Linked DNA regions of Drosophila melanogaster. The protein of the gene in region 4 interacts with the protein of the main gene of each other region in a pairwise test. Each region holds a gene or a part of one and is shown on either strand. Other genes may lie near its edges. The genes, in order: Gsc, pcs, MtnB and esn.

Region 1 (8,713 bases), on a different chromosome or scaffold from region 4:
AAAGAGAACGGGCTTGTTTGCTCTACAGGTAGAGCTACTGTTTGGCGTTCCAATCCCATACAAACCAATCCGATCCAATCCGGCTCGATCCCAAGCCGGCCGACCCTCGCCTCGAGTGGCTAAATAAAAATAATAATTGTAAATTATGAAGTCAAAATAAGCAGATCATTTAAATGCCGAACGATCCCAGGATGGGAACTGAATAGTTACGAGACGTTGGTCCGGAGCTCTGGTGTTTGTTTTCTGGTACTTTTGGTATGCACTTAGCTATATCTAGACTATATCCAAGCCTAACTAATAGACGTAACTTAGTTGCCATGTTTGGCTTTTGGTGTGTAAATGGGTAGCCTTTGGTACCCAATTGATCATCGACCGAACGGACTCTTTTCCGTTAGAGCATCGGATGTGTAGGCTTCGAATTTGTTCGCTTTTTTCATTTGTTTTCTCTTTTGTTATTGCTGCTGTTTGTCTTAGGCAAGATTTTCAATAATTATTGCCACTTATGGAGCGGCTGGGGTCTTAGAGAGACGGTCCCGAAATCGGGGGGCTCGGAGGCCTCGAGTGGCAACTCTTGGCATGCAAATATGCTAAACAGTAGCAGTCACAAAAGCCGGGGTTCCGAGTTGGAAGCCAGACCTGAAGTTGATTATGCTGCTTAAGTCAATGACGAGCGATGACTGAGCACAAGATTTGCTTGGGGATTGGGATTGCGATTGCTGCCGTCTCTTTCCTCATCCACTTTGCTTGTCAGAGACAAGTTTGAAGTCTCTTTTTGTGTGTTGTATGTTAATTAGTCGCCCCCGTGAGCCAGCAGATTCGAGTCCGCTGAATTCCAATTAGTTGAAGAGCTGGAAAATCTTCCCCACCTCGGCTTTTCATTTGCTTATCCTATTGTAGAACTCCTCCCGCCTAACAACCTCGCAACTTACAACTTACAACCTGCATTCTAATCCGCTTTGGATTCCAATGCTCGCCGCGGGTTAAATTTGTCGCCTAATCAAAAAGCGGGCGTCAATTCGCCTGCGGGTTGAGTAACGCCACGCCTCTCATTATCCTAAATGGTTAGTAATGTTAATGTGTAAGTTGTCTTAGGCTCACGGCTAAACATAAGCCCAAACCCTTCGAGTGTCAACAAATGTCGCACTTGTCCGCCTTCCTGCGCTGCGAAAGGTGAGGGTGAGATGGGGTTGGATGGGTTAGATTAAACATTTGACCGGTTGACAAACATATTGCCAGGGAAACGAAAACTAAGGGGGCCCGGAACCCGGGGCCCGTAGCCCGGAAAGCGTGGATAATCCTCATCAAAGACGCGAAATAGCCACCCATCAATGCACCAAAAATGTGAACAAATTAAATTGTCAACTTTTGTCGTCACTTTCTTCCTTGGTGACCTCTCAATTTGTTTGTTTGTTGTTGGGTTTCCTCGACACTAATGGACTTTGAATCACAATTGCCGATGTTAAAGGGATGGTTCATCCCCCGGGGTGGGATTTACAAGGGCGCAGAAGGCGGAATCCCTGCATATTTACATTACCAATGATACGATTCAGCAGTGGCAACCACCGACGAGCAAATAACCCTCACCATCCGTTTAAACATGCGGTTGTATCCCGAGTCCCATTACCCAAATTAAGTGAATCATTGGGATTGGCATTGTTTTGCTTTCGCCGGCGAAGAAGCCCCTCAAAATGTACGCCGCTGACAACTAAATAAACAAGTAGAAGTTCTCAGAGGGAGAATCTCGCTGGAGAGAATAGAGATTGCGATGCAGATGCCAGAGATTCGGATTCGGAATCTGATTCTGGTTAAGTGGAGTGTAGAGGAGCGGGGGTGTAGCACTCAATTGGTTTCACGCGGGGAATTAAAACGAGCGTGAAATTAGAGCCAAATGTTAAACACAGAGTGTGGGCGGCTGCTAGGAAGAACACAGTGATCAAAAGCTAAAGCCAGGCATTGATTGTTTTTTTGTGGTGACAAAGCGGCCTTAAAAAAATTACTTTAAATGTCTATAAAGTTATGCTTTAAACTTAGTCTTGCCCCCTTTTTTACACCTTCTTCGGCATTAAAAATTAGAAGCTTTAAACTCACCTCAACTCGTTCTTCTTTGAGATCCACCTTGAGGGCAAGTTGCTCCCGGAGCACCACATCTGGGTAGTGTGTTTTGTCGAAGGTGGCCTCCAGTTGCTCCAACTGCTCCTCCGTGAAGATGGTGCGATGGCGACGCTTCCTCTTCGGCGGAGGTCCATGACCCAGATGGCTGAGGTGGTGCTGTCCGTGGTGGTGTGCGCCCAGATGTGGATGGTGGGGGTGCCCATGGGGGTGGTGCGGATGGTGCCCGTGACCCGACAATCCAGCGGCTGCTCCACTCACATGTGCCTGCATCTGAGCAGCGGCCACATGCGCCACCGCAGCAGCGTGCATGTAGTTTGGATAGAAGTTGGGGTACGCCACTGTAGGGAAAACAAAAGGAAAATTCATTATTCCCTGGTTGGAATAACAGTCATATCATCATCATATAACTGGAGAAAAGAGGGCCACGGGAATGGGTGTAAGTGGAATATTCCTGGGTAAATCCTTAAAAATGCGCATAACGAACCGCGCAAAATAAAACTGCCGCCATTTTGGCTTACAGTAGACACAAAAATGGTATCAGTTCAAGTAAAATGTAAAACTATTTACCCTCTTCAGCATATGTTGTACTTGGAAAACATGTAAATATCGTTACGAAGAATATTACAATGATATATGGATAACATATTGCAAAAACGGATCTATTCCTTTGACCCCATCTGTAAACGTATGTGTGGCTTCCGTTTCCGGTTGCAGCAAGCTGGGGAAAAAAGTTGCGACCAGGTTTTTAATATTCATGTCCTGCGGGGGAGCCTTTGAATGAATTTAAGCGGTATTCTGCATAAATCTGCGCCTGAGATCCACGCTCGAATCAACACAAGGCCTGAGCCCATCTTAAAGCCACCCCAGCATCCCGGATTTCCCTGGTTTTTCCGGCCCAAGCTAAGACTTAGAGCCCAATGCAAATCCTCTCACCGCAAAATCGAAGGAAAATGGAGAGGAAATGCGGAATCATCTTTCACGGATCATTGCCTAATTATGAATAATGCCATTCAGGACTCGCTTCGGAATGGGTGTGGTTCGGTTGAGTGGGAGAGGATGAGGATGTCAGGATAAAAGTGGGTGAGTGGCTGAATGGGTGATTCCTGACTGCATGAGTGAGCTGCCTTAAGGTGATTTCAGAGTTTAGATGCATGAAATAAGGTATTTCAAAATGTTAAAATTTCTTTATCTAAAGAACCATCCTTTGAACTGGTTTCGTCTTAAGTTGTCTTCATAATGAAATTCAGCTGAGGGGGCTTGTGCGTTCAGTATAGGGGGATTGATAGACTTACCCAAAAAATCCGAGGGAGAGGCGGCAAAACCGCTCGCCGCTGCAGCCGCCAAGTGACCCAGATGCAGGCCAGGATGCTGCAGCATGGCAGGAACCCTCTGCGGTCGGATGGGACTGGCGGCTGCGCTAGAACTGGAGTTTGAATTTGGCGAGGCTGGGGACTCGGCGCCACTTCTTTTCAGACCCAAACTGATGCCATTCGAGGTGAGTCCATTTTGGTTGCCATTGCTGCTGATGTGGCTGCCTTGGCTTGGAGCGGTGCCTCCACCCTGTTGGCGAGAGCCCAAAATGCTGTCGATAGTGAAGAGAGACGCGGCGGCGGCTCCTCCTCTTCTCTCCTCTTCCAGAATGGTGACACCTGACTGGCTGCCATCATCGGAGGACGGAGTTTGACTTTGGGACTGCTGGTGTTGGGCGTGCTGCTGCTGGAGGACCGACTGCAATCGCTGGCCCAAGTAGCCGCATTGCTGCGAGTTCAGGAGCATGGCGGTGGTCAGGTGATAGGCGGCCGTGTTGCCAGGAGATCGCGAGATCTGCCTTGGAGGCTGCTGCTGCTCGCCGAGATCGCTGGGCGACCTTTTGAGGGTGTAACCCGCCGGCGGGGAATTTGTCTCTACCATTTGTGCCAGCATAGATCCAGCCGGAGGGGGCGTAGGCGGCGGGGAGGGGCTGGGCGTGCTCACGACGGTGATCTTGAACTTGGCCTTCGAGGGCGGAATGTCGGGCGTGGTGCTGGGAGTGGTGGTGGTGGTGCCTCCACCGCCTCCTCCAGGGGTCCACAGTGAGGAGAGAATCTTGAAGAAGTCTATGAAGCTTTCGAGTAGGAAAAAGTCTCTTCCCCACTGATTTTTTTTTAATGAAGCGGCACTTTTGAAGCACTAAGCGCTTTACAATTTTTTTTAATTCAGTAATGGTGGCAATGTTGCGAATATTAAGTCTAGGTTTTTTTCACTGGATTAGTGTGTTTTGATCGATGCCAAGTTCACTAAACCGCACTAGAAACACGCACTGCAATCGCGTCGTGATTTTATATTTTATTATTTCCACAGGTTTTCTGCCACCGGGAACCCTTCTTGTCCGCTCGAGCTGCGAAAGTGTTGTGAGAGCGTTCCGCCCGACAAGTTGTCGATTGAGTAGTCGTTAGGCCAGTTCCTCGACAGATATAGATACAGACTCTCAGATGCCAGATACAAACTCACATCTGCTCTCTCGTTTAGCGGACATTTTTCGACGTTGGCCAATGAAATCGGGGTGAAGCCACGCCCTCAACGCTACCATATTGCTTGGCAATACTCTCTGGCTTTGGACGCCTCTCCCTCTCTCTGTATCCTCCCTCCCTTTTTTGCTTTCCCTCTGTATCTCTTTCTCTCGCTCTAGCTGGTGGTGGTTGATGGTGTCGGGCCCCCATCTTGCAGTGTTCCAGGTTAAAGGCTGGCAGGAGGTCCAGGATAAAGATGGCGCTACAGAGATAATGCCCCATTCACCAGACCCCTCCTTTTCCACCCAATTCACACCAATGCTTCCATGTATTTTTTTGTATTTTTGCGCTCTCTACTTACTTTCTTTGGCCACTGACAGTTATTTATACAGATAAAGTCATCACTGACAGACCCCGCGGCCCCCACAGAAAGAGATAGCTGTCGAGGGAGCGATAGAGAAGGGAAGCGGGTGCGCAGGATATGGCAACAGAAGCTCTCTCGCTTTCACTCAGAGTGAGTAGCAGGGGTAGCATAAAAATGCTGATGGAAATTATGGGTGGCAAAAAGCCTGACGCTCTCTTCTCGCGTTCAGGGGATTCTGATACTCCACTGCCTCTGCTGGCGCCGTATCTTAAGAAGATAATGACTAAATTAATGCTTTTATGTTTCTGGCAACACATAAACATCATTATGCGCTCAATCCGCCCACGGAGAAGCGCTGCTCTTGCTCTTTCTCCCTTTCTGAGCTTTATCTTTATCATCATTCTTGCAGACGTTGGGAGCTTGAAAAGGGTTAAGGGGTGAACGTTTTATGTAGAAAGAAGCACGCTACTACTCGTACATAAAGATGAAGCTTACACTGGAGGGAGACTGGGAGCGCTCATTCAATAATCTACGGCACTTTGGTGACCCTCGTCGCTATTGTTTCACCTCGTGTGTGTGCATAGGAAAATATTTTAATCTAAAGTTTCCACATCAAACATGCCCAAGTGCAAAATCCCCAATGGCCGCCAGGGTTCGTTCCCTAGATATGCCCCCCCTCCTCGTCCACTCGAATGCAGGAAAACAAAAGCTAAGCTACGACTAATGATAAATGCAACTCTGCAAACCACACCCACAATCACAAATGGAAATCCAGCCAGGAAAAGCAAATGAACCGAAAAGTCCTTACAATGTCACCTATGTGGGGGTGAAAAATGGGGATCACTTGGAGAAATAATTCCCAAGTAAGGTCCATCTTTACATACTAACTAAACTTAATTCTGCTAGGAGAATCATGGAAGACGAGGCGTTCCTGATAAATTATCAATCAACACTGACTACTAAATTGGGTGGTTTCGAAATATCTTTAAATAATAAGAAAGTATTTAAAGGGCACCCAAATCGCTCTGTGTACTAAGATGGACAAAGAGGAGGGGTCCAGGGAGGGAGGCTTACATAAATGCAGATGTTTTAGTGTGTGTTGGGGGTATATGTGTTCAACTGATTACGGGGGCGCACGGAAGAAGAGGGGCGGTCCTGTCACATGCCGTAAAAGGATGAAAGGATGACGGCTGATGACGTCGCATGTGGCCAAATGCTTTTAGAAATTATTGAATAATTAAGCAGGCCAAGGACCGCAGGACCAGGATATTTCTGGTCCTCTTTCCCCTCCGATTCTTAGTGGATCCTGCCGCCCAGTTTTCTCTGGGCTTCGCTATTTGCCTTTACACTGAACTTCTTACATGGCCAACAACTCCCGACGGGAAAACCGATGATGACGATGTTGTAAATGTAAAGGAAATATTGAGTTGAGAATGGAAAAAGAGGAGGAAGCTCTGGGAGTGCGCTTCTCGCTAAGCTCAAAAGATGTGACGCACTTTTTTCTATTATTTTCCTCACAGAATTTGTTCAACTTGTTTTTTCACATGAAACTTTTTGTTGCCTTTTCTACCTACTCTGACCTCTGACCTGAATTCTTTCCCCACTTGCTGTGCACTTTTTGTTTTAGTTCGCAGATTGAATTTTAAATAAAAAATTAAATTAACTTGTCTAAGTATTGTATTTGGCTGAGTACCACTACCCCTTCGATTGGCTGTGCGAAAAAGTTCAATTGGCAAAGGACTAAGCAAACATTGTGGAATAAAAGGTTTTTCTACTTTTCCATTTGAGCGCCGGAGAAAAAGCGGGAAAAACAATGTGGAAAAAACCATCATCATCTTCAACTTTTTCTTGGCTCCCTCCCGATGATGATGATTTTTATTTCGATTTTCTGTTGCCATTTCTCTTTGAACGCCCACGGCCACATTTTCCAGTTGTGCAAAATTAGAAAAGTTTTCCCTGCTCTCTCTCTTTCTCTCTCTCCCTTTCTCCATGATTGTTTCCCAGAAGCGGTAAAACCGGGAGAGATGGAAAATAGACGGGGGAGGGGCGTGTGCTTTGCGTATTTGTCTTGTTAAAAATTTAAGCGAATTTCCTCGAGAAGCCAAATCGAAATCAGCAGCAGAATCCGCACCAGAATCGGAATCAGATTCTTCGGATTCAGCAGCCAAATCCCGTGCTGAGGATTTGCGATTGAGGCTGAGTCGCCTGCTGCCGACATTGATATGGTAATGAAGCTTCGACATCGGAATCGGGCTCTAATCCCCGCCAGCAGCAGCAACCCCTGGATATGTCTCTATATGGTCACACCGGTTTTGCTCAGCAGTCAATTAAACGTTTAATCCAAATATCGTTTTATACGTCGCGCAGTTGATCCGGTCGAAGGTTTTTCAGCGGATCCCAGAGGTACACAAAGAGAAATAGTTTATGGGTAATCAAACCTCGAATATTCCAAATGTCCTGCCCTACCTACGGATCCCATTCGATTCCGTGGCTCACGACTTATGGGCGTTTTCACAACGAAGTTTTAATGTTCCTAATTTTATTTACAAATTTCTCATCAGCTCTCAGTTCTAACCCTTTTGGACATTTAGACTCTCAGTGTAGGAAATAGAAGCAATTTATGGCAATGGCAGTCGCATCAAGGGATCAGTCAGCTCAGGGATCAGGGATAAGTTTAATCTTGCGATATGCGTAAGCGTGCAAATTGCATCGATTACGCATGGCGGGGAGGAGAAAGAGACGGAAAGATCGGATCAGAAAGAGAGGGCTGGATGGGACAAAAGGTGCAATAAAACCGAGAACCCGTGCGGATGAATGAGATGCGATGGAAGGAGCGACCTGGGGCGTGAGGAGAAACCAAAATGGTCGACAAATGGATCGCCGAATTAAGCCAGAAAGAGATAGCGATTCGTCGGAAAGAGACAGAGGACAGCCATCAGGAGCAGCTGCTTTTTTCCACATGCACAAAGATCCTTGTTTTGGGCTCGTATTTGCGTAAACAAGGCCACACTTTGGTCAGGGCTGTTTGATATTGGGCTACGGGAGGGATTGTCGGGTTGTTTGATTTGCTTTGGGAAGATATTTTTGGATAATGCTTCAATTCAGGGCTCCATAGAATAGGACAGTATAATAAAACCAAGTGCGAAATCAATTGACAGATATCCTCCAAACAAGTTCTGGTTGGAAGCCTTAAGCCTTAGGCTATTGCTTTGTGCGGAAAGTCTGATGGCTTAATTATTTGGTATTTAAATATTGTCCGGGGAATAAAATGATTCAGTAAATAGTATCTAGACATTTGTAAACCTATCTATTTAATATAATATATAAATCCTAGTAGATCAAATACAATTAACACGATCTTACGACTTATAATTGAGTAATATATCTTTAGATGCAAATTTTGTATCCATAATTCTTTCCAAAACTCAACTGAAAAGCAACTCTCCCTTTCTTTCTGTTTCTAGGCTGTCATAATTGTTCATTTTGATTTGATGCGTAATTAAAAATTTAAATTGTGTGTCCTCAGGAAATTTTAGGGGCGAGTGGGTGGAAAAAAAATGAAAACGCGGTGAAAGGCCAGTCAAATATTTGTCAAGTGGAAATGGCAGGGAAAACATCCTGAACGAAGGAGGTGAAAAAGGGATCCCGGTTGAAGGCAATCCCATTTGCAAGAACTTTGCTCTTTACCGAACATTACTTCAACTCAATTAATTAGCCAAGTTTTCTTTGCAGACCTTTCACCATTCTC
Region 2 (8,848 bases), 7.9 Mb from region 4:
AAAAACCATTTATTGCAATGCGATTCAATTGTAAATACTGGCAAAAAAGGCTAACATATTTAATCGCCAAGGCAGCTGTGTGTGGCTGGCTGGTAGCAAAAATATTTGATTATCATCAAACAAACAAAAAGTATTGTGCATAAATTAAATGTTAAAATGACAACGCAAATTGAATAAATATTTTCACAACTTCGCCTTCAAGCACTCAAAATGCAATTGGGGTGCAAAAATTCGAATAATCGAATCGAAATATTCTCGATAAAATTGAACATCTTTCACTTTTCGGGAATCAAGCAAATATACATAACTTTATGAGCGAGTGGAACTTTCCTCCAGTTATTGATTTTATGCGTTCAATTTAAAGCTTACAACAGGGTCAAAACCAAATGGAACGAGGCCTGGCCCAAAAACTTAACCAAATCACGCGATGTGCGCTCATTTTGCATTCGTCAGAATCGCGCTGTTAAAGGGCGTCTAGAGTTCAACCTGAGTCACAGACTATGAATAAAGCCAATCAAATGCGAAAGGTTATAGCCAGGAGCGTCGCTTCTCTAGGCAACTGCTAACAAGAAGATGACGTGAGTGCGGCTCGTTAGGATCCAAAACAATTCGTCAGACATGAGGGCGCCGCCCACTCTTTGGAAATTCGAGGATGGCGATTGTTTGGCTAGTAACAGGCGTAAGTCTTCAGCAAACAGCGCTCATAAATAGACATAACTAAATTAGATTAGGAAATATATAGATATTTGCGTTGATAGATAAATAAATATTGTTAAATTACTTAGGAAAATGAAAAGCAGCCAAGCTCATTATTAGATATCCCAGGATAAGCTTATTCGCTTGTCCCAGCCACTTTCCACAATATACTCCCTACTTTGGACACCCATTTGGCCACGACACTCCCTCCTGTTCCGCTCGCAGTTCCGCCAGTTCCGCAATGACGCCAGCTGCCCTTTGTGCCGGTGGCGTGATGCCGAATAGGTCGACCTGACCTACATCTGCTGGTGACAGCTTTGTCCCCAGCTCCTGCCAGAACCACCCCACTTTCCTGGCCAGACTTGGGCATAATCGCAATGGAGGAGCTGTAATGCAAACCCACATCGACTTGACTTGCGCAACAACAAAAAAAAAAAAAGAAGGAAGCCTCAGGAACTCGTAGGACATTCAACTCAAGCGGAAATAGACGTCATCGGCCGAAAATAATGCGACAATTGTATGTAAAAAACCGCAAGCCAAGGGGAAAACTAACCAAAGTGGAACTGCTGAGAAAGTCTTGGCTGGTAGGTCAAAAAGATGGTTATATAAAAGAAAACTCAACGGCGATGCGTGAGTGAATGTCTGACGACCCGAAAATTAAGTCAACGTAGCTTGACAATTGCAATTGACCGCATAAAGTTTTTGCTTTTTTAATTAGAGTTATGTCAACTTCGTATAAAACGATAAACTTCTGTGTTGAATATGATGTTTTTTTTTTTTTTGTGTGGAACTCTCGTGTGCCTGACCCACTTTGAACAAATTATTTTCAATTGCTATGCTAACTCAAATTCTCGACTTTCTCTTTATGACCAAGCAATTCAGATCAAAGGTCAACCAAACTCATTTTGAGTCTATAGAAATCTAATAGTTGTTAATGCAAGTACAAGTTCATGACTGATAAGATTGCCTCTGAAAATCGTATCTCTGCTGATTTGATAAAGCAGGAAATGACTGCCTAAGTTCAACTACATAAACAAGCGCAATCATTGAATGTCATTAACAATTCCGACGACCAAAACAAAGCCGATCCAAACTGAATTCATTAAGGCTGAAAATGCATGGAAAATTGAGTGCGGTAACCGCTCTTCGAAAGTAGCAACTGTGTTGTGCGCCATCGACTATAATGATAATGATGATGATGATAATTGGTGATGATACTGATGGTTAAGGAAACCCGGGGGATTGCACTCGACCAAAAGGTTACAAAACCTCCAGTTAATTGAGAAAATAAACCTTCTGAAAGAGACAGTTTGTTTATGAAAGTGCAATCCCAGCTGCTTTTTAAGTATTTATTATTGTTTCCTACAATTGTTTTTGTTATTTTTGCTATAAAAATGGTAAATATAAATATAGCACTTGCGATCAGAAGCGCTTATGACCAGCGATGATTATGGGTAGCGTGGCCGAGCGGTCTAAGGCGCTGGTTTAAGGCACCAGTCTCCTCGGAGGCGTGGGTTCGAATCCCACCGCTGCCACTTGAGATTTTTTTTTTTTTGATCAGAGAAAGTTGTAATTGTTTTGGAAGCGCAAACAAAATAAAAAGTAAACTCAATAATAAATAAATGAGAGCAAACTTATTCATCAAATATGAAGAGTGCTATGTAGTATTAAATGCAGTTTTTATCGGGACTGGTTATGAACTTTGTATTGTATGCACATAAATAATCTTGCGATATAAGCACAAGTTCGTATTCGCAATAAAAGATAAGCATAAAGAATATCATATACACTTTTGGGAGACACCTTTACGGTATATTTTTACATATATAGAGTAGACGTTGACTCACTTTTCGGACACGATTTTCTGATTCATAGACGCCTGGATCGAGTTCTCTAATTCGCGATACCCGTACTCTCACCTTGCTTACGTAACTGAGACCAGAGATAGCCGACTTCATTAGTCATTTATAATTTTTTATCAAATTCACCTGCACATAAAGTTTCCCTTGCTAATCTAATTATCAAATGGGGCAAGGCTACTAATTTATTTTTAAATTGCTACAAAGCTTTTCTCACTAATTTCTATCGTAAAAAAAGGCCCCTTTGTTTTTTTAATAAAGCAATTATCATCTAATCGATAAGTGACGCTTTGATGTGGATTGGTATGAGATTAGAAAGTTTGGGGCTCGAAAAACAAATCCGTAGCACGCAAATGACCATATTTTTAAGTTAACTGACGCGTGTGGAATTGTTTACAAAAAACATCTGTTAGGACACACGTTTTTGGTTAAATAGACTTTGCGACATCGACGCGGTGCCTATTCTTTGTCTATTGTTTGGCGTCATCAACTTGAAAACATCTCTTTAGATAAGAAATTTTGCACGCGCAAAATAAAAAAAAAAGAAGAACGCCAAATGCTCATTGATAAATCATTGGCAAATCGAAGGCAAAAAAACAACAAAGTCGACTTGTCGAAAGAGGAAGTCGAGCATAAAAACATTGAGAAAGAAGGCAAAAATAGGCGGAGCAAAATATTTCGCGTTTTTTTGTATAATGTAGCATGCGGTTTTTCGTAGAATTCTTAACCGGTTTCGGTACAGTTTTGTATTTGGTTTATAGAGCCGCACTAAAGATTGTTTATAGACAAAGTGAATATCTCCTACACATTTTCCCATACCTATACATATGTACTTTCGGACATTATCGACGAATCCAATCTAGTCACATGCCGTCTGTCTTCTGGGTTCGAAATCAAATTGTTGTTAATGACTTTGCGCCGCGTGTGGCGTCTCTCCCACTAAGTTTTGCATTTAAAAATAGGAATTATTGTAGGTCTACACCGGGATTTTCCTTTGTCTATGTAGGGGGTATTCTCACAATGGACGTACCATTCGATTGATCGCCCTGGATAAAGGTGTTTTTAACTTGAATAACCATTTTATACTTATATACTCATATACATAAATATATTCTCCTATTGATCACGGTTTGGAAACATTGTGTTTTTCACTATACTCATCCGATTTGAGTTTTTATTTTTACAGACTCGTATTATTTCCTGCCCATTTAAGGCTATTAGGCGAGTGTGCGACTATTTTGCGCAGTTGAATGAGCAGCATATGAATCTTGATTTATGCAAAAACTGCGACTTGCGCTTCAAGACACTTTTCAATTGTCTGGCTTACACAATAATATATAAAATACTCGAAATAGAAACAAAGGCGTGTTTGTTTTTTGTTGTTGCTGCTTTGGCTTGCGTGTGCGCTTTGGTATTTCCATTTATTAAATTTGTATGCATACCTCCTCCTCTCTCCCAAAAATGCGAAGAGATGAGCAAAGAAGAAGGGGCGAAAGATAAAGAGCAATAACCAAGTTGCACTTGAATCTCATTTAGGTACCGAGTTCAAATCCGTTGCGGGTAAAAAGAAAAAAAAAACCAGTTTACTTGGAAGTGCGTGGGATTATTTGACACCCTTTGTGATCCCTTTTTTCCTGCACTTTGTATTGTTTTCGGTTTTACAATGCATATTGAATAGTTCGTCGGAAAAGGAAACTTGCAATTTGCTTAAATGGCTCGTAAATTGATTTTCTGTGTTGGTTTTTGCTGTTGTATCGTTTTTGAAAACCAACAAAGCGTAAAAAAGGTTCACGCAATAAATGAGTAACGAAATGCAATGCAAAAACGCCTGTTTCCTATTTCCAAAATACAGTGCTCTATGTTTTTTGCTTGTAAGTTGTAAACATATTTTTGTATGAAAATCTAGGTGCACATTTATCACTTTGGTACAGTGGATACCCTCGGTCTTCACAATTCACCGAATCGGGTATGCACTGTACCAACAAAAACTGCACTGCAAAGAAGAGCAGGTGATAGAGAGAACTAGCAAGCAAACCAAAAACAAAGCAGCCTGAATATTGTTATTGTCATTAAAATACCGTTCCATTCAGTGCCAGGTACGAAAGAGAGAGGCATACAATGAGAGAGAGAGGGGGAGAAAATAGGAAGGACAGCAGGCAAATTGCCGAAGGAAAATCACCTGAATTTGGGGATCCAGCTCGCCGTCTTCTGCACTCGACATTTTTACTGGTTTTCACTGAATTCGTTCCAAATGCAAATATATCGCTAAACGCGTTAATTTTCACTTTTCTGCAGCCCGCTTTTCAATTGAAAAACGCTTTTGCATTTCACTATTTGATCTCGTTGCTACACAGACACATCCCACGACTATCAATTTGCTTGTGTGTTTTGTTTTTCTTTTTTTTTTCTGTGTTTTTTTCTATAATATTATGTAAATTGGTGTTGGCAATTTTAACTGGCAATTTGCTATGCGGGTACAGCAGCAGTATTAAAACAAATATTTCATTTTGCGTCTTATGTTTCACAACGAAGTTAAAAGCGAAAAGGGAAAGGGACACATGGCGATTACATTAAGTGTGAACAAGACGAACGGTACAAGTGGACAGGGCACGCGGCTTTTCACCTTCTCCTTCGCTCGGGGCATCTAAGATATTTAATTAACTCGCTTATAAAGGCTAAACTATCCTAAAAATTAAAGACGCGTCCAGACGCGACGAAATGAGAAGCTGAATTCGGTGTGACCGCAGCGCGGTGTTACCAGATAGTGAAATGCTGACCAGCAGTTGCTGAAATAAACATTTGGTATTTTTATTGTATTGGTATATTTCATTACAACGCTGGCATTGTTGCCAACTATTTTCAAGAAAAATAAACAATTAAAAAAATGTTTGATTTTCATTGCACCAGTTTGATAATGTAACAATTTATATTTAAAAAAATGCTAAGTTAACATATTAGTCTTCAAAATTACTCTTGGCGGGCTTGGTATTTTCTCTTACCATTACGTCATATGCCTCATCTACATAACCATCACATCACGTTACGTAGTTGATTCACTTCGTAACGTTATGAATAATTAAAAAAATTTTGTTTCAAAAAGGATTTTTGTTAAAGTTGCTAAATACGTATTAATGAAATATAAATAAATAGGTCTGACTAAGTAACAAAATATGCATTAAAACCAGAAACATTTTACTATGAAAGTTTACTTTATTTGTTATTTGTTTTCATCATTTTTGTTTTGCCCTTTATGTGCTTTACATGTTTGTGATTTTTTCGTATTTAATTTGTTTACTTTTCCTTATATGCGTTTATAAATCGAATACTCCAATTTCCTCTAATGATATGCGCACCAAACATATTTTTAACTGAGCGCAATTAACAGAAAACCGAAAATACTCTCAAAAAACAAAATTTTCACTAAAAGATTTTTATTTATGTAAATTATAAAGAAGAAGGCAATTCAGTTGTATACCACGGAATTTCATACGTTATTCAGCATCAATGCCCGATTAAACATAATTTATAAAGATGGATTCGTTTCCTTCTTTTATTTTTGATTTCTTAATTTAACGCTAATATAAGATTTATATTTTATATAATGCATCTTTTTACTTTGTATGGAATAACACTTAATTATACATTCATTTCATATAGTTTGATTTTAGTTGTAATCATAACAAAAAGAAACATTTCTGTGCAGCGTGATTTGAAAAAAATGAACAAAGAACTAAGGTACAAAATTCTAGAATAATACAATTTGAAATTGTCTGAATGGGATCTTTAAATAGTAGTTCTTGCCTGACTTTCATTGTGTTTGTTTAAGAGTGTGCCGTGTGGTTTATTTGTTGATTCCTCCTCTGTCGTATAGTATCAAACCACTAAATACTTGTCCATATAAATGATTTCGTTTAAATATTTATTTATATATCGAATTATATATATTTTATGCTATATAATAACTATGCAAGTTCTGCATATATGCATGTTGCGCTTCATTTACCATTCTTTTACTTGGTTATTTTCATTTTGTATTGTTAACACTCATAGTTTCGGGAATGGGAGGAGAGTTTAGGAAAAGTACAAAAGTATACATGGTTTGTCCAAAGCTTTTCAGTTGTAGTTGCTTTTTACTACACAGTGTGCATATCGAAATGATACAGAATACGATCCAATATAAATGCTTCTCCACACGCAATTGGAATAAGAAATACAAAAACAAATTGAACTTAACTAAGTTGAAGTACATAAAACATTACAAGATACACCACAACTTCTAAATTCAGCTACACTACGATTTGTTGTTTGATTGGAGATTTATTCACTGTCTATGTTTAGGCCCACTCGCTTCTCCTCCTCCAGCATGGCGTCCAGCTCGTCCGTGAGATTGGCCAGCATATTGCCAATGTCGTTCAGAACGTTCACCGAAACTTTGGGCGGAACGCCGTTGTTTATGGCCACAGTTGGTACGGCTGCTTCTGGCGAACTTGCAGGCTCCGCCGTTGATCCACCGGCATTTGACATATCCAATGTGGGTGAACGCAGGTGCAAGGCACTTCCACCGCTGGCTGTGCTGCCCATGCTTTCACTCCGCGCCAATGTGGCATCGTGCAGCGAACTGGAAGATTTCAACGAATGGAACGAGTGCGCTATATTCGCGATGGTGTTCGTGGAGGAGGAGCTGGAGCTCGAGCTGGAGGAGTGCAGGTGTGCGGGATGGCCGCCGCCGGGTACATTGTTGTTGCCCGCTCCGCCGCCCTGCAGCTCCTGGCGGTTGAGCAGCCGCTGTTTTATCGTCCCAGTGTTCTCGTTGGCAAATGGTATCGTGTCAATCGAATCGATGCTGGAAGTCGACTTACTGTCGTGATACTTCTCACAGTGTATCTCCGCCGTTGTCTGTTGTATGGTGGCATAGTTGGCGTAGATCGGCTGCTGACCAGTACCTGCACCCGCCTGCTGCTGCTGCTGCTGCCAGTGCTGCGCCGTGTGGCCGTAGAACATGTGCTGGCCCTGCTGCTGTTGGGCTGCCTGCTGATGCGCCTGCGCAGCCGCTCCCGACGGCACTCCCTCTCCGCTCAGCGTGCGGGAGTTGCGTATGCTGCAGTGGCGTCTAGGTGGCTCAGGAGCTATTTTCTTGCCCGTCAAAGGACTGCCGCCCATGTAATTCTGTAATAGAAGATAGCTCTTAGTAAGAACAGTTTAAAATCCACAGTTGCCACTTTGGTGTCCCTTCTATTATAACCAACTATGGCAACCACAGATAAGTGTTCTAAGGATTCGTGGAACCCCAACTTACCGCTCCACCCTCCACACCGCTGGCCGCACCGTACTCCGCCGCAGCCGCTGCATTCATGTAGTGATGGTGCTCCAGTGGCGGCATGGTGTTCAACACCGCCCGCTGCAGGATGCCACGCTGCTGGCGTGGCAGAGTTCCGCCGCCCTCCTGCTCGTAGAGCAGCTCCCTCGTGGCATCGTTGGTGGGTGTGATGTCGCCGTCGTCGTAGGATCGCCGCCATCCAATGCCAGGCGCATTGTTGCCCAGGAGACGGGCGGCAGCTGCCTGCTGCTGTTGCTGGTGGAGCAGCTGCTGGTGATGATGCTGCTGCTGCAGTGTGGCCGCTGCGGCCATTGCCGCTGCAGCCGCCGCTGTTGTCGGCGGCCCAAAGTGGCCGTAGTCCGTGGTTGTGTAATGGCTGAAGGTCAGATGGCTGCGCGTGCTGTTGTCGTGGATGTCCTCCAAAGATTCCAGGCTCTTGCCGCGCGGCTGGCGAACCTGCAGAAAAGGATAAGAGGCTCGTTAGGAGGTGCAACTTTTTGAAATTAATGAGGCCAGTTTTCTTCTAAGTTAATTGGAAATCAACGAGAAAAAAATTCTCAACAACAGAAATAATAATATGAAAATAAAAATATTTTTTGCAAAGCAATATTAATGAAGGGTATTAAACTTAATTTGATATTTGTTAAGTAACGATGTTCGCGATGCAAAAGCTAGTTCGTGGCTAAAATGTCAGAGGGCACTTAAAAAGTTCAAGGCCAACGGGCTGCTACGCTTTTTAACTGTGGAAAACCAAGTGCCCACCTTAATGAGCACCACATCGTTGCCCGAGCAGCACTCATGGTTACTGCCCGTGCAGTAGTAGGCATCTCCGTTGGCAAGGCTGCTATTGAGGCAGCTGCTCCCGGATGGGGCAGTGGAATTCAAGACACTGCTGGTCGCGTAGATTTTCGTGTCGTCCCACGAGACGCGGGTGGTTGGCACATAGGATGGCGTACTGGGTATGGGCACATTGAAT
Region 3 (6,843 bases), on a different chromosome or scaffold from region 4:
GCGCCTCTTCTCTGGTGGCAACTTGACATCGTTCTGCAGGCGGACGTTGATCAGATCTGCAGGAGCGCCCACAAACCCGCCAATTCCACCGGCAATCGCGGCTAGACATGTTTTGCCGGCCATGGTGCTGGTGTCCATAGCTCCAGAGCCCACCGAATAAATGCCAAAACGGGCCAATGTGTACGTGTATTGGCGCAGCATTGAGGCCGAGATGCCATTGTACATGGCCAGAGGTCCCTGTTCCTTGACAATCTTGCGGGTGGTCTGGAATACCGATAGCTTCTCCGCCTGAGTTTGGATAAGCACCTTGATCAAGTCAATCGGATGAGTCACCATGGCAGCCATGGAGCTCGCCAGACCTCCAAAGTACCAGCGGGCAATACGCCGCTGGTTGTAGGACATCAATCCACCCCTTCTGAGCGACATTTTGTGTTTTCTATTTGCTAACTTCTTACCCTTAATTTATTACTACGGATCTACTTGTGTGTTGTTTGTTAAATGTGAGTATAATGTATATGTAAATGAAAGTGCGGGGTTGATCTAACGACTGACGAGTTTAAAGGCAAGGAAAGCATGATTGGTGACTTTAAATATTAAGACACAAAAATTTAGAATTTACTTTCAAATCATAGTGCATCATGGTAACCAAATGAATTATTTAAATGTAGTAGAAATTTGGTCGTCCCTTCGATAGATCCTACATTATCATAATTAGCATCATAATTGCATTATTTACGTTTTATTTCACTCACTCCTAATCTGTACAACATCGGAATTCCTATAAGGCCTCCACCAACAATGCAATAATCCATCAAGCGTTTTTTGACCACTTCGTCTACAGAATTCAGATACAGATATAATGGAAAAGCCAGAGCAATCAAGCATGCATTTAGTAGTATCACCATAATTATTATCCAAGCAGCTCCTTTAGGCTTATCCTTATTACCTGAAATCATTATACTAAAACAAAACGTATTATTTGTGGGTCTGCCACCTCACCTGTCTCAACTAAGCTGATCGATTCGTCTTGCCCATTTTCCAAGATTCCGAGCTCCATTTTAAAACTCCTTGTCCCGTTCGTAATTGTATTTTCTATATATGAAACTTAATGAAGTTCAACTTTGACACCAAATGCAAGGGTAATAACTTGTTATTATTAATAATAATACAAACCGCTTTTCATCATAGCAGTTGTCATGGAAATCATACACAAATACTTTTTATATTCATATTCATTTATATATAAATATATTTTATTATTATTGTGAAAACTTTCATTGCTAATTTTAAAAATGGTAATTAACATACTCTTTGTTGGAATTTTTGTGTGGAGTATAGGTCCTAGGTAGTCATTACAAGAGCGTTTCCCTGTCACATTATTTACACCTGATTTGCCAAAAGACTGCTACTTTACATCCGGGCAGGGAGCAAAGCAAAATGGAAGAAAACAAAACGACCTGAGCACGCAACAAAGGTCTTTGGGAAACGCCTCAATCACGCACCTCTGATTATGCTAATGGATCTGAACCACTGTTGTTTCATAAATATTTTGACAGCTCAAGCACCGGAAACGGACGCTTGAAATTGTCCACAAGTGCCTGTATTTTAATTGGTCATTTGGTTTTGACAGTTGGAAACTCAGGCCTAGCCACTCGAATGGAAAGCTCGACCGCTCTTTAAACAAAAGTGTGTGAAATGGGTAGCAGTAGCAGGCTATTAAATAAATAAAACTTGGCCAGAAAGTTATTATTTGGCCGATACAAAACGTATCTATTCCATTGGCAGACTATTAAACCCAACATAACGCTGGAGGAATTTGCTGCTAGTAGAGCAGAATATATATGTATTTTTTGAAAATGCAATAAAATCGGCACAACATTTTTGAGAAATTGCCTCAAAAGCGAAATACATTTTATATTCAAAACAAAGTGGGTTGCAATTTCGGCCATTGGCATATGGGCAAAGTTCAGTCGCAGATAAAAGCGGCTAAATAATTTGGTTTCAGTTCGATGGCCACGAAAATTGAATGTTATTTCGATTTATGTTCCGTTTTGCGCACAATTCAATGGACTTTCGGTGAGTTTTCTACCAAAATCACGGCTGATGGATTGGATTTTAATTCCGGTGCAGCTGTCCGCGAACATACAAATATTTGCAAATCCCGCCCAAATTGTCGCATTGCGTTTGCTTATTTTTCATGTAATTCTATTTTGCGGTTTGCTTAACTGAATGCCAGCTCACGTTTATTATTTTACCATAATTGGTTTTAGCTGCCAAAAGCCGAAAATATAATTATCGCTTGGTAAGATGACCGACCGCCCAGTAACAAAAAGTTAACGGCAGAAACTTTTAAATGCTCAAAATCTTTATAAACTTTATTTATTGCGGCCAACTCGTTGGGAGTTAAGCTCCAGTTTAGAAGTTAAACAGTTAGTTATATAGTTGGCCCGCTTATTTGTTGCTGCAGCACTGGTCCTTGGGCCCATTCTTGCAAACGCACTGGCAATCCTTGTTGCAGGCGCAGTTGTCCCCGCACTTTTGGGCCGAGCACTGGCAGTCTGTCGAGGAATCGAGAACGATTGTCAATTATACAGCTTGCTGCTGCGTTGTACCACTTACTTGTTCCACAACCCTTGCAAACCATCTTGTATGTATCTATTTCTCGACTTTCACTTGGCTGAGGCGAACTGATATTCACTTGTTTGCTTGTTGCTTGGCTATTCAACTGATGACCCAGTCCGGCAACTCCCCCACTTTTATACCCACTTCGATTGCCTCGAACTCGAACGAGTGCAAAATTGCACAAATCCAAAACAAATTTGTTTGTTTGACCCAACTTATCACGTCGTGTGCAAGTCTGGGGCGAGTGGTTCGCAATTTATCAGACGATAGGCCAGGCAATTCTTTTTGCGCACGCGATTGCTCGCCAACTCGGTGCACACGAACTCCTCATCAGCTTATCAGCTGCCCACGTTGCGTATACGTTGCGTATACGCCGCGTATCGTGACTCAGCCCACAGCCCAGAAGCACACAATAAAAAGCATGAAAAGCGCAGGCAGCTACCCAGCGGGGTTTTTCACAATAAATAAAAGACTTTCCTGTAGTAAAACAAATTTAAATGCTCATATTGGCTGCAAAAACGCTTTACGACTAAACTCTTTTCAAAAAAAACCCAGCGTAAATGCCATAAAAATATCACATGTGGAAAGCTAACTAAAAATTAATAGAGGAAAAAACGCGCTGCAAATTAGGCAAAAACTATAAGCTCTGCGGGAGCTACGAAAACAGTTCGTTGCACGGAAAACCAAACACCCGGAACAACTTTATATATATTTATGACTTTTAGTAAAAAAAAAGTTTTCGAGAACAAATATAGAAATAGGCCTGACTTAGTTGTTTTTTTTTTTGCTAGGTGTACCTGCAACAAAAGAACGACTTAGATAAGTTTCCTGCAGTCTCTAACTCGGCTAGTTTTTTTACCTTTACTTTTTTACCATTTTATTTACCTTACCTTAAAAAAAAAATATCTTTAACGAGTATAATGAATATATAATTGATTCTTGTGCTTGTGTTGACCACAAGGTTTATATTTAACATCACATAAACATATATAACTTGACCAGCCAGCACCGTTCAGTTAGAGTATGACTTCAGTTCCTTACCACAAATTGCATGAATATCCTCTCGTCCCCAAAGTGTCCTTCGATTTTTCTCCGTGTAGTCCTGGGAACATTCCTGTAGAACTCAATATTTTAGAAAGTCAAGTGGCAGGTGTTCCGTTACCCCAAATTAAATTAAGTAATTATGAGGTCAGCGAAGGGTGTCTCATGCGAATTTAATGGGACACTTTTGATGGGAGCTATATAAACCTAAGACTTATTCTGTCAGCCGATCAAACAGCTGAATCATGCTGTTCCGCAAACGTAAGCCAAAAAGTGACGATGAAGTCATCACCTTCGACGAACTTACCCGGTTTCCGATGACTTTCTACAAGACCATCGGCGAGGATCTGTACTCCGATAGGGATCCGAATGTGATAAGGCGTTACCTGCTACGTTTTTATCTGGTACTCGGTTTTCTCAACTTCAATGCCTATGTGGTGGGCGAAATCGCGTACTTTATAGTCCATATAATGTCGACGACTACTCTTTTGGAGGCCACTGCAGTGGCACCGTGCATTGGCTTCAGCTTCATGGCCGACTTTAAGCAGTTCGGTCTCACAGTGAATAGAAAGCGATTGGTCAGATTGCTGGATGATCTCAAGGAGATATTTCCTTTAGATTTAGAAGCGCAGCGGAAGTATAACGTATCGTTTTACCGGAAACACATGAACAGGGTCATGACCCTATTCACCATCCTCTGCATGACCTACACCTCGTCATTTAGCTTTTATCCAGCCATCAAGTCGACCATAAAGTATTACCTTATGGGATCGGAAATCTTTGAGCGCAACTACGGATTTCACATTTTGTTTCCCTACGACGCAGAAACGGATCTGACGGTCTACTGGTTTTCCTACTGGGGATTGGCTCATTGTGCCTATGTGGCCGGAGTTTCCTACGTCTGCGTGGATCTCCTGCTGATCGCGACCATAACCCAGCTGACCATGCACTTCAACTTTATAGCGAATGATTTGGAGGCCTACGAAGGAGGTGATCATACGGATGAAGAAAATATCAAATACCTGCACAACTTGGTCGTCTATCATGCCAGGGCGCTGGAGTAAGTTTGACGGTTATATATTATATATATCTCTCAATTCATCCAAATTAAGGATAAGAACTAAACTACTACATGTTTTTCTTATAATACACTTTTCAGCCTCAGCGAGGAGGTCAACAACATATTCAGCTTCCTGATCCTGTGGAACTTTATTGCCGCATCGCTCGTGATTTGCTTCGCTGGCTTTCAGATTACAGCCTCAAATGTGGAGGACATAGTGTTGTACTTCATATTTTTTTCAGCTTCGCTGGTTCAAGTCTTTGTGGTCTGTTACTACGGCGATGAAATGATATCTTCAGTGAGTTTAATTTTTATTAATTTTTCTTGTTTTCGGTCTAGTATTAACAAGAAATGTACATTTCAGAGCTCTCGGATTGGCCATTCGGCATTTAATCAGAACTGGTTGCCATGCAGCACCAAATACAAACGCATCCTGCAATTTATTATCGCGCGCAGCCAGAAGCCCGCCTCTATAAGACCGCCTACCTTTCCACCCATATCTTTTAATACCTTTATGAAGGTAATCAGCATGTCGTATCAGTTTTTTGCACTGCTCCGCACCACATATTATGGTTAAGGGAAGATTAGATACATATATATGTATGTGCATAGGTACATCGGAATATTGATAGCAATCCATCGAATACGAAAAATACATATTTGCAAAATAAGATACTGAATTCGTTTGCAAAATACAAATACATAAGTACACATAATGTTATATAACAAGATAACAACTTGTGATCTTTAAGAAAAAACAGTATTCTATCCTAAAAAAAACCACAACAAATCAAGTTATTTAATGTGAAAAATATATAAAAATTCATAAAATTAATAAAACAAATCTTAAATTGTCATAAAAAAGATCTGTTCTGTTAACACTTTACAGATGTTATAGAGGGTAAAAGTTATTAATTAATACATGCTTTAAGGCTGTGACATAAAGTCCCCATGAAAAGAACATTAACGTTCCCGCGACAGAATACTTTGCATACTTTGCGGATCAGTCATAAAAAACGACTTGTAATACTTGTAATATATGGAATTTAAAGGTCAATCCGCAAAAGACCATCAATCCCTGCTTCACCTTGAAGACCTTAAGTCCCGTCACCGCACCCATAGAGCTGGAAGGTGTAATCCTAGATCAACCTTCACAGGCTAAGTACCTCGGGATTACCCTTGATAAACGGTTGACTTTCGGCCCGCACCTGAAAGCTACGACTCGGAGATGTTATCAAAGGATGCAACAACTTCGATGGCTGTTAAACAGAAAAAGCACCATGACACTGAGAGCCAAAAGAGCAGTCTACGTCCACTGCGTAGCCCCGATCTGGCTGTACGGAATACAGATCTGGGGTATCGCAGCAAAATCCAACTACAACCGCATTCAGGTATTGCAAAATCGTGCCATGCGTGCAATTACAGACTGCCCATACTATGTACGTGGCACTACCCTTCACCGTGATCTGAATCTTCATACAGTGGAAGAGCAGATCTCCAGGCACACCAGCAGATATAGTGATAGACTAAGACGACACCACAGTATACTTGCTAGACGCTTACTCCCTGCTAGGCCTCTAAAGAGATTAAAAAGGAAGGGTTTCGCCAAAACACTTGGACAACCCTAAAGACCCCCTCGAAATATGAGACAAAGTTGTAAGTCCTCACAAAGTGAGAGGTTTGGTTTTATCTTTTATATGTTAATTGCGCTGTTATGTTACTGTTATTGCATTGTATTGATTCATCGCTTCTAAATAAATAAATATATAAAAAAAAATACTTGTAATAAAATGCCTTGTTTATTCGCAAAAACACTCACAGTGAGTGTCGTGAAAGACTAAATGGATTAACATACATAAATATAGACACAATGGTGCGCATATCGCTAGCATCACAAAAACGTAACAACGACAAATACTAGGGCACAAAATTCATGATGTGATGAAGCCGCCAAACTAAATGGCTTAGTCCTTCAATTCGGCGCCACTGTTAACAAAACCGGCAGTTTGGGTCAACTGCAGTTGGGCCTTCTCCTCCGCCTCCTGGGCCTTCTGCTCGGGCGTCTTGGCCCATTCCTGCAAATCGCCGGAGCAGTAGAACCAGTAAATGACGCAGCCGAC
Region 4 (8,967 bases):
CAGCGGGCAGAGATGCAGAGATCCACAGATCCGTTAGGAGCTGGGTCCAATTTATCAGTTGCCATTTGCAGGGCCAGCCACAGCCATGGCCAAGAGCCCAGCGGCGTCTCATTAACGCTTCCAGTCGCGTAGGCGGCGCGACATATGCGGATTCGTTGAAACGGCCGCGGATTGATGCTGACGATTGTGTTCGAGTTGACCCAACTGACGTCCTATCTCGTTACACTGGGAAAAACGATGTAATCATCGGCCAGTGATTATTCCAGTTTACCAAGCACGTAGCGTCCTAAGCACCCTTCCCTAATCTTATGACGGGCACCTCAGATCAGATCAGATTCTTTATAATGGTATGCAGTTTTAATAGTCCGGCTTTTGAATGTACTTACTAAGCTCTAAATTATTCATTTTTCCTGGTGTAGAGTTAGCCGTAGGTGGATGTACCAACTAGGCTGACAACACGTGTTTTTTTAAGCTAAATTGCTATCTGGAATCGGAGGAGTCGAAATGCATCCATCTGCGAGCTGGCTTTCTCCGCAAAGTGCCGCGCAGATGGGGGGCGAAATTAATTTGCGGAAATCTCGACGCTCGAGTGGCTAAAATATTTCAAGCAAATCACGATTATCAACTTGAATTCCAGCTTCAGATCTGTGCGGGCGATCGCCGATCGGCCAGACACTTTCACAAGCTTTTCGACCAAGTGACATTTGTGCCAGTTTGTTACTTGGCTCGATTTGCATTTGGTTCTCATTAGGCCACCGCCGTCTGATTGATGGCAATTTCTAAAGTTTGTATTTTTAGAGCTCCCATGGAAATCAATGCGGTGTGTGGGCGACTGGAGATCTCGGCAATGCCATTTGGTAATTGTCCAGGTCCAGACCCAAGTTGCCACAATTTGGTAACGATTTGTAAAGGGGCATGACGGCACAAAACGGGCTTCAGGTTCGCTTCCCACCTGTATTTGGCCAACAAAGCGATGGCCATTAAATTAATTACACGGCCTGTGCTCTCCGCCGATTTCAATTAAACGTAAATTACGAAAATTAAACGCAACAATGCGCCAAACTGGTTATCGAAGTGCCCGACTCCCGATCGTGGCTAGAACACTTTACTTGGCTTACACACGCTCCCAATCAGCAACCTCTGACTTATTGCCACTAAATTGACTCCATCCTGATACGGAGCTCCTCGGAATTGTACATATGTAGCATATGTACCGCACAGGGCATCCAAGGAGAAAAGATAATCATAATCGGGCGGCAGAACAGGAAATATAATGAGCTTGCAAAGAAACGCCCTTCAATTTAGCCAGCTCCTCCCTCCCTTTCCCCTTTCCCCTTTGGCCCACGGCTTGTTTGGCTAATTTTATTTTGCGGTTTTCGATTTTATTTCATAAACACATTTCTGCTTTGCAAAATACTTAACCCTCCATCCCTCCCCTCCTTTGACCCGCCACTTCGAGATTATAAATTGAGTTTCCCCCAACTCGAGGCGAAATCAATCAACTCTTCTGTCTTCTTCTCCATTCACTTGTAAATCTTGTGTTTTGTTAATGCGTTTTATGGATTCTCGATTAGGTGTTGAATCAATAAAACGCGAGTTCTGACTTCCCAGCCACTTTAAGACAAAGATGGCTTATAAAACATTTGGCCCTGGGATTGTGTCACACTATAATGTGTGTGTCACTATAATAGGGGGTTGAATCTTCTGGAGAACAAGTTGTGGTTTTGATTGGCTTCGTTCGCTGACAGCCAGAGAAATTGCCCGAACGCCCAGCGAAAAAATAATTTGAAAATATGTAGAAAGAAGAAGAAAGGCCAAAGAAAATCAGATCCACTTCACTGAAGCGCTGAGCACCGAAGGGGCGTTACTTGATGTGTCCGCGAATCAGTTAAAGTCAGATTAAGCTCCCGCCCCTCACGACCATGCCTCTTCCCTACACGATTGTCGGCCTTTTGCCATTTCAATTAAAATGCCATATATCACGGCCAAAAGGCTTTCGCTCCAACTCCATTCCATTCCACTCGAATCCACTCGCAACTACTGCGCACATCGAATGCAATTAAAATCAAATGCGTAGCTCATTTTTAAATCACAGCAAATCGTAAACCGATAAGTCCGGAGTGAACCACTCGGGTGGTCCATGGACGCGGACTAGCCCCTCGCTTCTGGCCAACTTCAATTAGCCAGGCTGGCAAAAGAGGGCCGCCGGCGGTCCCAACTTATTTACTTTATTGTTGAGATTCCTATGCAAAGTGTTCGGCCGGCCAGGCGCTTAATTACGCTTTAAGTAGCCGCCAGTCAATATTGGGTTTGGTTTATTTAAACTGCGAATGTAATAGCCCCGCTGATTGCGAATGGCTCGAGAGGATGTGCATATGGATGTGGAACTGGAGGTGGAACTGGAGGTGGATGTGCGTCTCAAATTACAAAGTTCTGTTTAAGGGAAATTGATGGCGCACTCCTTCCACCAATATTTTATGGCTTCACCCAAAACAAAATCTAATTAACAGTTTGCGTAGATTTATGAACAGAAGTCCATGCAAATGAAGTCTGCATGCGGAATGCAGAGAATACAAAAGATGGAAGAGATGGCAGAAATGGCAAAGATGCCGAGGACCTGAAAGATCTGAAAGATCTGAAAGATACAGAATACCTTTTCGATGAAGGGCACTCAGTCAGGCGGCAAAAAGAACTCAATTTATGAAGTCGTCGGATGGAATTTATGAGGCTGCAGGATGCAAACACAAGGTGACGGGCGATCGGAGGAGAAGGACCTCGTGAGGATGGGCTCAGTGGACCCGAAGTTCTGCCAGCCTCGTTTAACCGCTGCTGTTGCCACTTAGCTGCATGCAATTCATTTTGCAGTTAACAAAACTCGACAGCGAGGCGAAGGAAGGAGCACGTGCTGGCCAGAAAGTTGATAAATAACTTTCCGGTGCCAGTTTTGCAAATAGTCGGGCATTAATAACACCTTCTTAGCGAGCCCACAAAGTCGCCTCCAGCTGACAGAGCCTCTTATGGCGGATTATTTGTGCCATTATTCGAGGGTGACCTGTAGGATTTGTACTCTCAGCGCAATTGAAACTGATACGCGTAGCCAACAACGGCTGTTGATCAGGTGAAAATGATAAACTCCGCTCTATTTATGAGCCGCCAAAGAGGTATGCCTTATCGTTCTGGATTCCTTAAGAAGTTCTGAAGAAATTAATTTATCCTAAACAATATGAAATCTAATAAGGGAAAGAAATGGCGATGGTGACAAAAATGACAACAGAAAAAAAGATCACGGGATTAATTCCATATTAACATTGCAAACTTCAAATGGGCTATAAACCCAAGGGCCAAAAACAACAATCGTGTCCATTGGTTTATTACCTTTTAAACAATTGCAATTGTAGTCGGTAAATTCGGTAAATTGTTTGGCCTTCGTACTTCTCTTTCAATAGTTGTAAAAACAACATTGGTAGAAAGTTGCAGACCCACATTTTCAACGGCAGCTAAAAGGTATTAAATTACCAAACACGAAAGCGGCCATTTTCAATATAACGAGTATTAACTCAACGTAAGTCGGAAATCTATAAAGCTGTCAGTGTGCCAGCCCATTTTAATGCGATCTGCCTTGCCTATAACTTCGAATAGCCAGTTTAATTTGAAGAACCATAAAGTATGATTCCAGTGGTTAGGAATAGAATCCTCCAGAACCCAACTGCTCCTCAACTCGGAGCACGGAGCACGGCTCATATGAAGCTATTAAGCAGCCATCAAATTGGGCCGTAAACTCTCTACTGCGACGCCCGTTTTATAGTCACTTAAATTGGGAAATGCAAAGCTCATCAAATGGATTTCAAATTAGTTGGCCACATTCCCGCCGACAACTCCGCTTTCCCTCGCCCACTTATCGCCGAGAGTTATGGCCATTAGAGATAGCCGGTGGAAACTCACATTTTGGGTGCTGTGGCTGCCGGCGGTGGCGGCCTCTTTGAGTGGCCATCAAATCTGGCCAATTGTTCTTCAATATCGCTGAGCTGGATATCGTCGGCAATGGCCTGGTTGAAGTAGCAGTTGGCCTTCCTCCTGCTCTTGTCCACCTCGAGGAGCTGCTCCGTATCCTTGGGATTTAGCCAAACGGCGTTCCTGTTGCGGCAGCGGTTCAGGTTCCTCAGATCGTCATATCGGAGGATCTGCTGCCCCTGGATCCTTGCTATCTGGGAGGGCGTTAAGCTGCCGGTCAGCATGGCCACCTCCACGTCATCGTCGGTCTCCCCGTTGCAGGAGATTCCCGAGGAGTGGAACTGATCCTCGCTGCTCAGCTTCCTCTGCACGCAGCCGGAGGATTGGGCCACGGCCATGGCCAAAGTGGGTGCAGGGGATTCGTTGGGCAGCTCCAGCGCTATTTCGTAGGGTGCTAGGGTGATCGTGGTGGCCTTTGGCTTGGTCTTGGTTCGCACTGCCGACTTGATGATGCACTTCGCAGGGGCGTTGCCCCGATGTTTGGAGCACGTGGACTTGCTACTCTGCTTCCTGGGCGTCAGTTTGGTCACCGTCGATAGCCGGGACTGCTGTCCAGCTCCTATCTGCGGCATTTTCGGCGGCTGAACCTGCTCCTCCAGCCGCTCCCGGCTGGCCAGGCGCTCCCTTTCCGCGGACACAGCCCGTCGGCGACTCCGCCGTATGCTGGGCATGTTCCGGGGGAACAGCTTGCCCGCCTCCGCCTGGGAGCTCTTGGAGAGACTGTCGCAGCTCCGGTGGCGGGTGGGACTGCCGCTGCTGGCGGTGGTGGTGGAGCTGTCGCTAATCGTGGTGGCCGTGTTGGCCAGCACTGAGGAGCACTCGCTCAGGTTGACGATGTCCCGGTAGTTCCTCGACTGATCCTGCTTGCCCACCTGCGGCAGCCGGATCTTCCACCAGCGCTTCTTCGAGAGCATCGCGGTGAGTGGAACGCACGTCAATCACGGGTCGCGGGCCAATCAATCAATTGACACATTAACGAACGGGGAACACCTTAAGCAGTTGGCAGGTATGCGGCGGCCTGCAATTACCGTCGCCAGCAATTAACGGGCGATCCGCTTGCTCCAATTACGTGCACTCGCGATCGGATTGATACGTATCGGCTGGGATTCTATCTGAATTCCTGGTTCGCGAAAGAACAGCACTCGCACCGCTCGCTTTGGGGCTGCTCAAACAACTGAAGATTGTAGAAAGTAGCTGTTGGCCGAAAGGCGGCTTTTGGCCAGGTTGGTGCAGGTCAAACTCACCACCAAGACGATCCAGCCAACTCACCACAGCTCTCTTTCTCTCATCTATATATCTCTCGCTCGCTCTTGTGGCCCAAGCAAGTGCAGGTAAAACAGGTGGCACAGGTGAGTCGAGTGGCTTTCGGTTGAGTGCTTCGGATTCGAGCCAGAATGTGGTGGCGTTTATTAGCCAGCTATTGAAGAGGCAGATTCTGGTAGCTGCAACTGGTTGATGCAGCTGTCTTCGGGCCATTTGACACATTTCAGGCCGTTTAGCGATTGACCCATTTCAATCACGGCCAACAAGGGAAGACCACGGCCAGCGTCCCTTGGGCGTTGTGTTACCACATTAGCAGCGCACTCATAGGTGGTCATTAGACTGCGGGCTTGGTGAAAATGTGGTAATCGGGTAAGGCCCCTCTCATGAAATCCATCCGTTTGCCCCGGAATGGAAATGAAGACGGGCGGATGGAACGTGGACGAGGGAACAAACCAATCATTGGAAATTAGGGTTTGTGGCTTCCCTATGCTGCACGGGACTCTCTTCTTGTGGCAGCACACGGACGGTAATGGAGTCGACACCGATTTCACATATTATTCAATTAACACGCAGCTACTGATTCATTGCAATTGAGGCTGAGCTAGAATTTACTAGCCAGTGCAATTATGTCCTGTTGATATTTGGGATAAGTATTCTTCAAAATGGTTTTTAGTTTAAAGTTATGTGGTGATTTTGATAATCGACTTAATAGATCAAAGACCAGTTTCACTTCCGAGGCATTCCACTAACTATCTCGGATATAAAAATGCTATGAAAATTATTTGCACAATATAAAATGTGTCTTTCGTTGAATTATTTTGAGTCGCTATATAAAGTGTCTCTCTCGATGAATTAATTAGAGCCGCTAACTTCTCACACTTTGCAATTATACTTTCTTCTCTGGCTACTAACAACCAGAAATAATTTAAAATTAGTGACCTTTACTACAAGCTAAAGGATTCAATTGAATTTTTAACTTACCTTCAAAACTCTCCCAAACGAATTGCCATTGCGAAGTTTGCGTTTTAACAAATTGTTTCACCAACTGCAATGAAAGACGAAAGTAAATAAATTAATTTCCCCATTTAACGTTAAATATTTGCACTCTCTTTCGACACTCAAAGAGTGATGGGCGAAATGGCCCAACTAATTGAGGACCAGGCCAGAAGAGAACAGCCAACATGAAGCGGCTGAAGGCAAACGAAATAAGCAAGTGACTGCCAAAAGTATTTTAATTGCCCGGAGTTTTCCGAAAAGAGGGGCGTCAAAACTTTATTTGACAGTTGGAACAACTGAACAATTCATGAAACAATTTTGATTAAAACCGAGACACACGGTCTCCAACTGGAGAAATGTCAGCGAAAGCAGTTGTCAGATGCCAGCAGCAGGTGAAAATTGGTGCACTGAGAACATTAGATGCTCAAGGTGATTGTATTATCATTATCGTTAGTAATCAATCATTGGTTGTATGGTCGATAGACAATGCCTTTAAGCTCCATTCAACTATAAAACTAACTTCTGAATTAGATTCACTACATTTCCCGACCACATCTTAAAGAAGGATGTTCTGCTTGATTTAAATGACAATATGAATACTCCTGACTGAATACTGTAAAGAAGTGAAAAGTGGGGATAATTTTTCCAAGTGTAGCCCTTTTCCCACTTTGGCCATGGCCAACAGGTTAAAGTCAACGTCATTGCAGCAGGAGCGCAAAAAACAACAAGCCCGAAAGTGACGCTAGTAAAACAACGACGATAATATCCTGCAGAGGTCGTAAAAGTTGAGATTTGAACGTGCAACGTACACGTGTAAGTCAAAAGTTGCCCCGGGCGGTGGGCGGTGGGCGATGGTCGGAGGAGGGGCGTGGCTGTTTGGCGCAGCTGCCGCCACTACGCGACACAAGATGGCGCTGCGTGGCACTAAAAAGTATTAAAACAATTTACACTTTGTAAAAAAGGCAGCAACGGGGCAATAACACCGACTGTTGTGCGGCTTGTCGCACGTGTCGCGTGGGGTGGGGGGTGTGTAGCTGTGGAGGGGTGGCTGTGTAGTGTTTTATTAATATTTTTTTCACTTGCCCCAAACAACATGGTGCCTGTCATAATCATAACTGTATCTCAGCGGCAAAGACAACGGGAAAATGGTAACAAAAATATAAGGAAATAAAATAAAATCAGGGTTGCCGTTGACAATCGCGTTATCATAATTCTCTTCTACTAAATTCAAATAGCATTTTCGCCTATTTGCATAAACAATGTGAAAGTCGTAAAGTGAAAAATTGCAAAATATATATAAAACACACAAGCGAGTGGGCAAAGGCAGTGGCAAAGAGAAAGGCAGGGCGAAAGCACTTCAAAAGGGGCGGATGGGCATAGATGGGCATAGAACGCGCAAAAAGTAAAGCTGCAATTGCTCGCTGAACAGTGAAGGCACAGTGGGGCAAATCGGTGAACCAAGGTGGTACTTAAGCCCCACAATGTTAAAAATTATATGTATATTCCAAACAAAAGTCTACTATGTATTTATTTATATAGATATGTGCTTGTGATATTTACGCTGGCATAGAATATACTTCGTTTCTAGCATATATTTCATATTTCACAATTATGTTCTTGAGGTTGGAGTTTTCTTCAAAATTCAATATATATTGTTGTAAGAATAACTAAATATTTAGTAAATTCATTTAAATATGAACTGTTCTAATAAGACAATCTTCGAATGGTTTAGTAAGCTTTCATCAATATTCCTATGGTTTTTATGACTTAAAATTAATTAAAATTTCGCATCTACGAATTGCGCATTGAACAGAATAACTTTACACTAACACTACATTCAATCAAATAACTTAAAGTTACCGTTAATTTTGTTAGCATTTTTGTACTATTCAAGGTGGAACCACAGTGTGCATCCTCTTGCGATTCTCTGGTTGCTTCCGCCATGGCATAAAAACCACCAACAGGGAGTCTTTTCAATGAAAAGCGAGGTGCGTAGCCCCAATCCGCTTGCCAATCTCGGCGGCTGTGCCTCCTCCTGCTCCTCCTGCCCCTCGTCTGACTTCCTCTTAAGACAATAAGCACTGGGCCAGGATGTTTGATGGGGAGTTGGGCTGGAAAGGCAGGCAGGAATCAGCGGGAGTCGCCACAATTCACACACTCGTGTGGCAGGAGTGTGTAGGCGGCAAATGTTTCCCTAATGATGACGTCGCTTATGAATTGTTGTCGCTGGCGGGGAAATGTGGCAAAAGATCTCAAGTGCTGCCTCCGTCGTATTTATGAAAAATATTGTTGCTCAGGGGTGGCGAAAACAACGGGTAGCTGGGAGGAGCAATGATTACGTTGATTTGCCAAATGGCGCTGATGACAGTCGGCGACTGAAGAGGCTCCGCAGAGCCAGCGACTACGTGAGTCTACTGATTTTTAATTAAAAACGCAAAAACACAAAAACCAAGCCGGTCGGAGGAAAACCACCCGAACCTCTGGGGGAGAGTGGAAAAAAACGAAGAAAGCGGGGCTCGGAAACAACAAGGAAAAACTCAAAGTGCGCGTCACAAGGTTTCCTTTTGTTAATCGACTTGATTGTAAATATTTTCTTGCATAAGCTCTGTTCCCTTACTCCTTCCAATCCTGTTCTGTCACTCCCCTATATTTGACTAAACAGAAGAAAATTTTATCAAAATATTCACTCAATTTAAA

Evidence for each region.
Region 1: the proteins of esn (region 4) and Gsc interact in a two-hybrid assay, tested with the Drosophila melanogaster proteins (one large-scale study listed by BioGRID).
Region 2: the proteins of esn (region 4) and pcs interact in a two-hybrid assay, tested with the Drosophila melanogaster proteins (one large-scale study listed by BioGRID).
Region 3: the proteins of esn (region 4) and MtnB interact in a two-hybrid assay, tested with the Drosophila melanogaster proteins (one large-scale study listed by BioGRID).

Annotation. Positions count from the first base shown.
Region 1 is NT_033779.5:590,184-598,896, forward strand, and holds the start of Gsc (goosecoid), read right to left. Parts: upstream 4,503-8,713; 5' UTR 4,198-4,502; coding exon of another isoform or gene 4,024-4,197; coding exon 3,405-4,023; intron 2,451-3,404; coding exon 2,089-2,450; intron 1-2,088.
Region 2 is NT_033778.4:14,977,710-14,986,557, reverse strand, and holds the start of pcs (parcas), read right to left. Parts: upstream 5,296-8,848; 5' UTR 4,777-5,295; coding exon 4,735-4,776; intron 2,232-4,734; exon of another isoform or gene 2,150-2,231; intron 1-2,149. Other genes in the region: ckn (caskin), read right to left, coding at 6,873-7,721, 7,852-8,328, 8,635-8,848.
Region 3 is NT_033777.3:20,500,887-20,507,729, forward strand, and holds MtnB (metallothionein B), read right to left. Parts: upstream 2,733-6,843; 5' UTR 2,645-2,732; coding exon 2,620-2,644; intron 2,559-2,619; coding exon 2,452-2,558; 3' UTR 2,216-2,451; downstream 1-2,215. Other genes in the region: Dic2 (dicarboxylate carrier 2), read right to left, coding at 1-426; CG46441 (uncharacterized protein), read right to left, coding at 659-697, 753-946, 1,000-1,057; Or92a (odorant receptor 92a), read left to right, coding at 3,909-4,723, 4,823-5,021, 5,088-5,300; MFS9 (major facilitator superfamily transporter 9), read right to left, coding at 6,688-6,843. UniProt on the Drosophila melanogaster protein: This protein binds cations of several transition elements. Thought to be involved in metal ion homeostasis.
Region 4 is NT_033778.4:7,102,900-7,111,866, reverse strand, and holds the start of esn (espinas), read right to left. Parts: upstream 5,188-8,967; 5' UTR 4,926-5,187; coding exon 3,943-4,925; intron 1-3,942.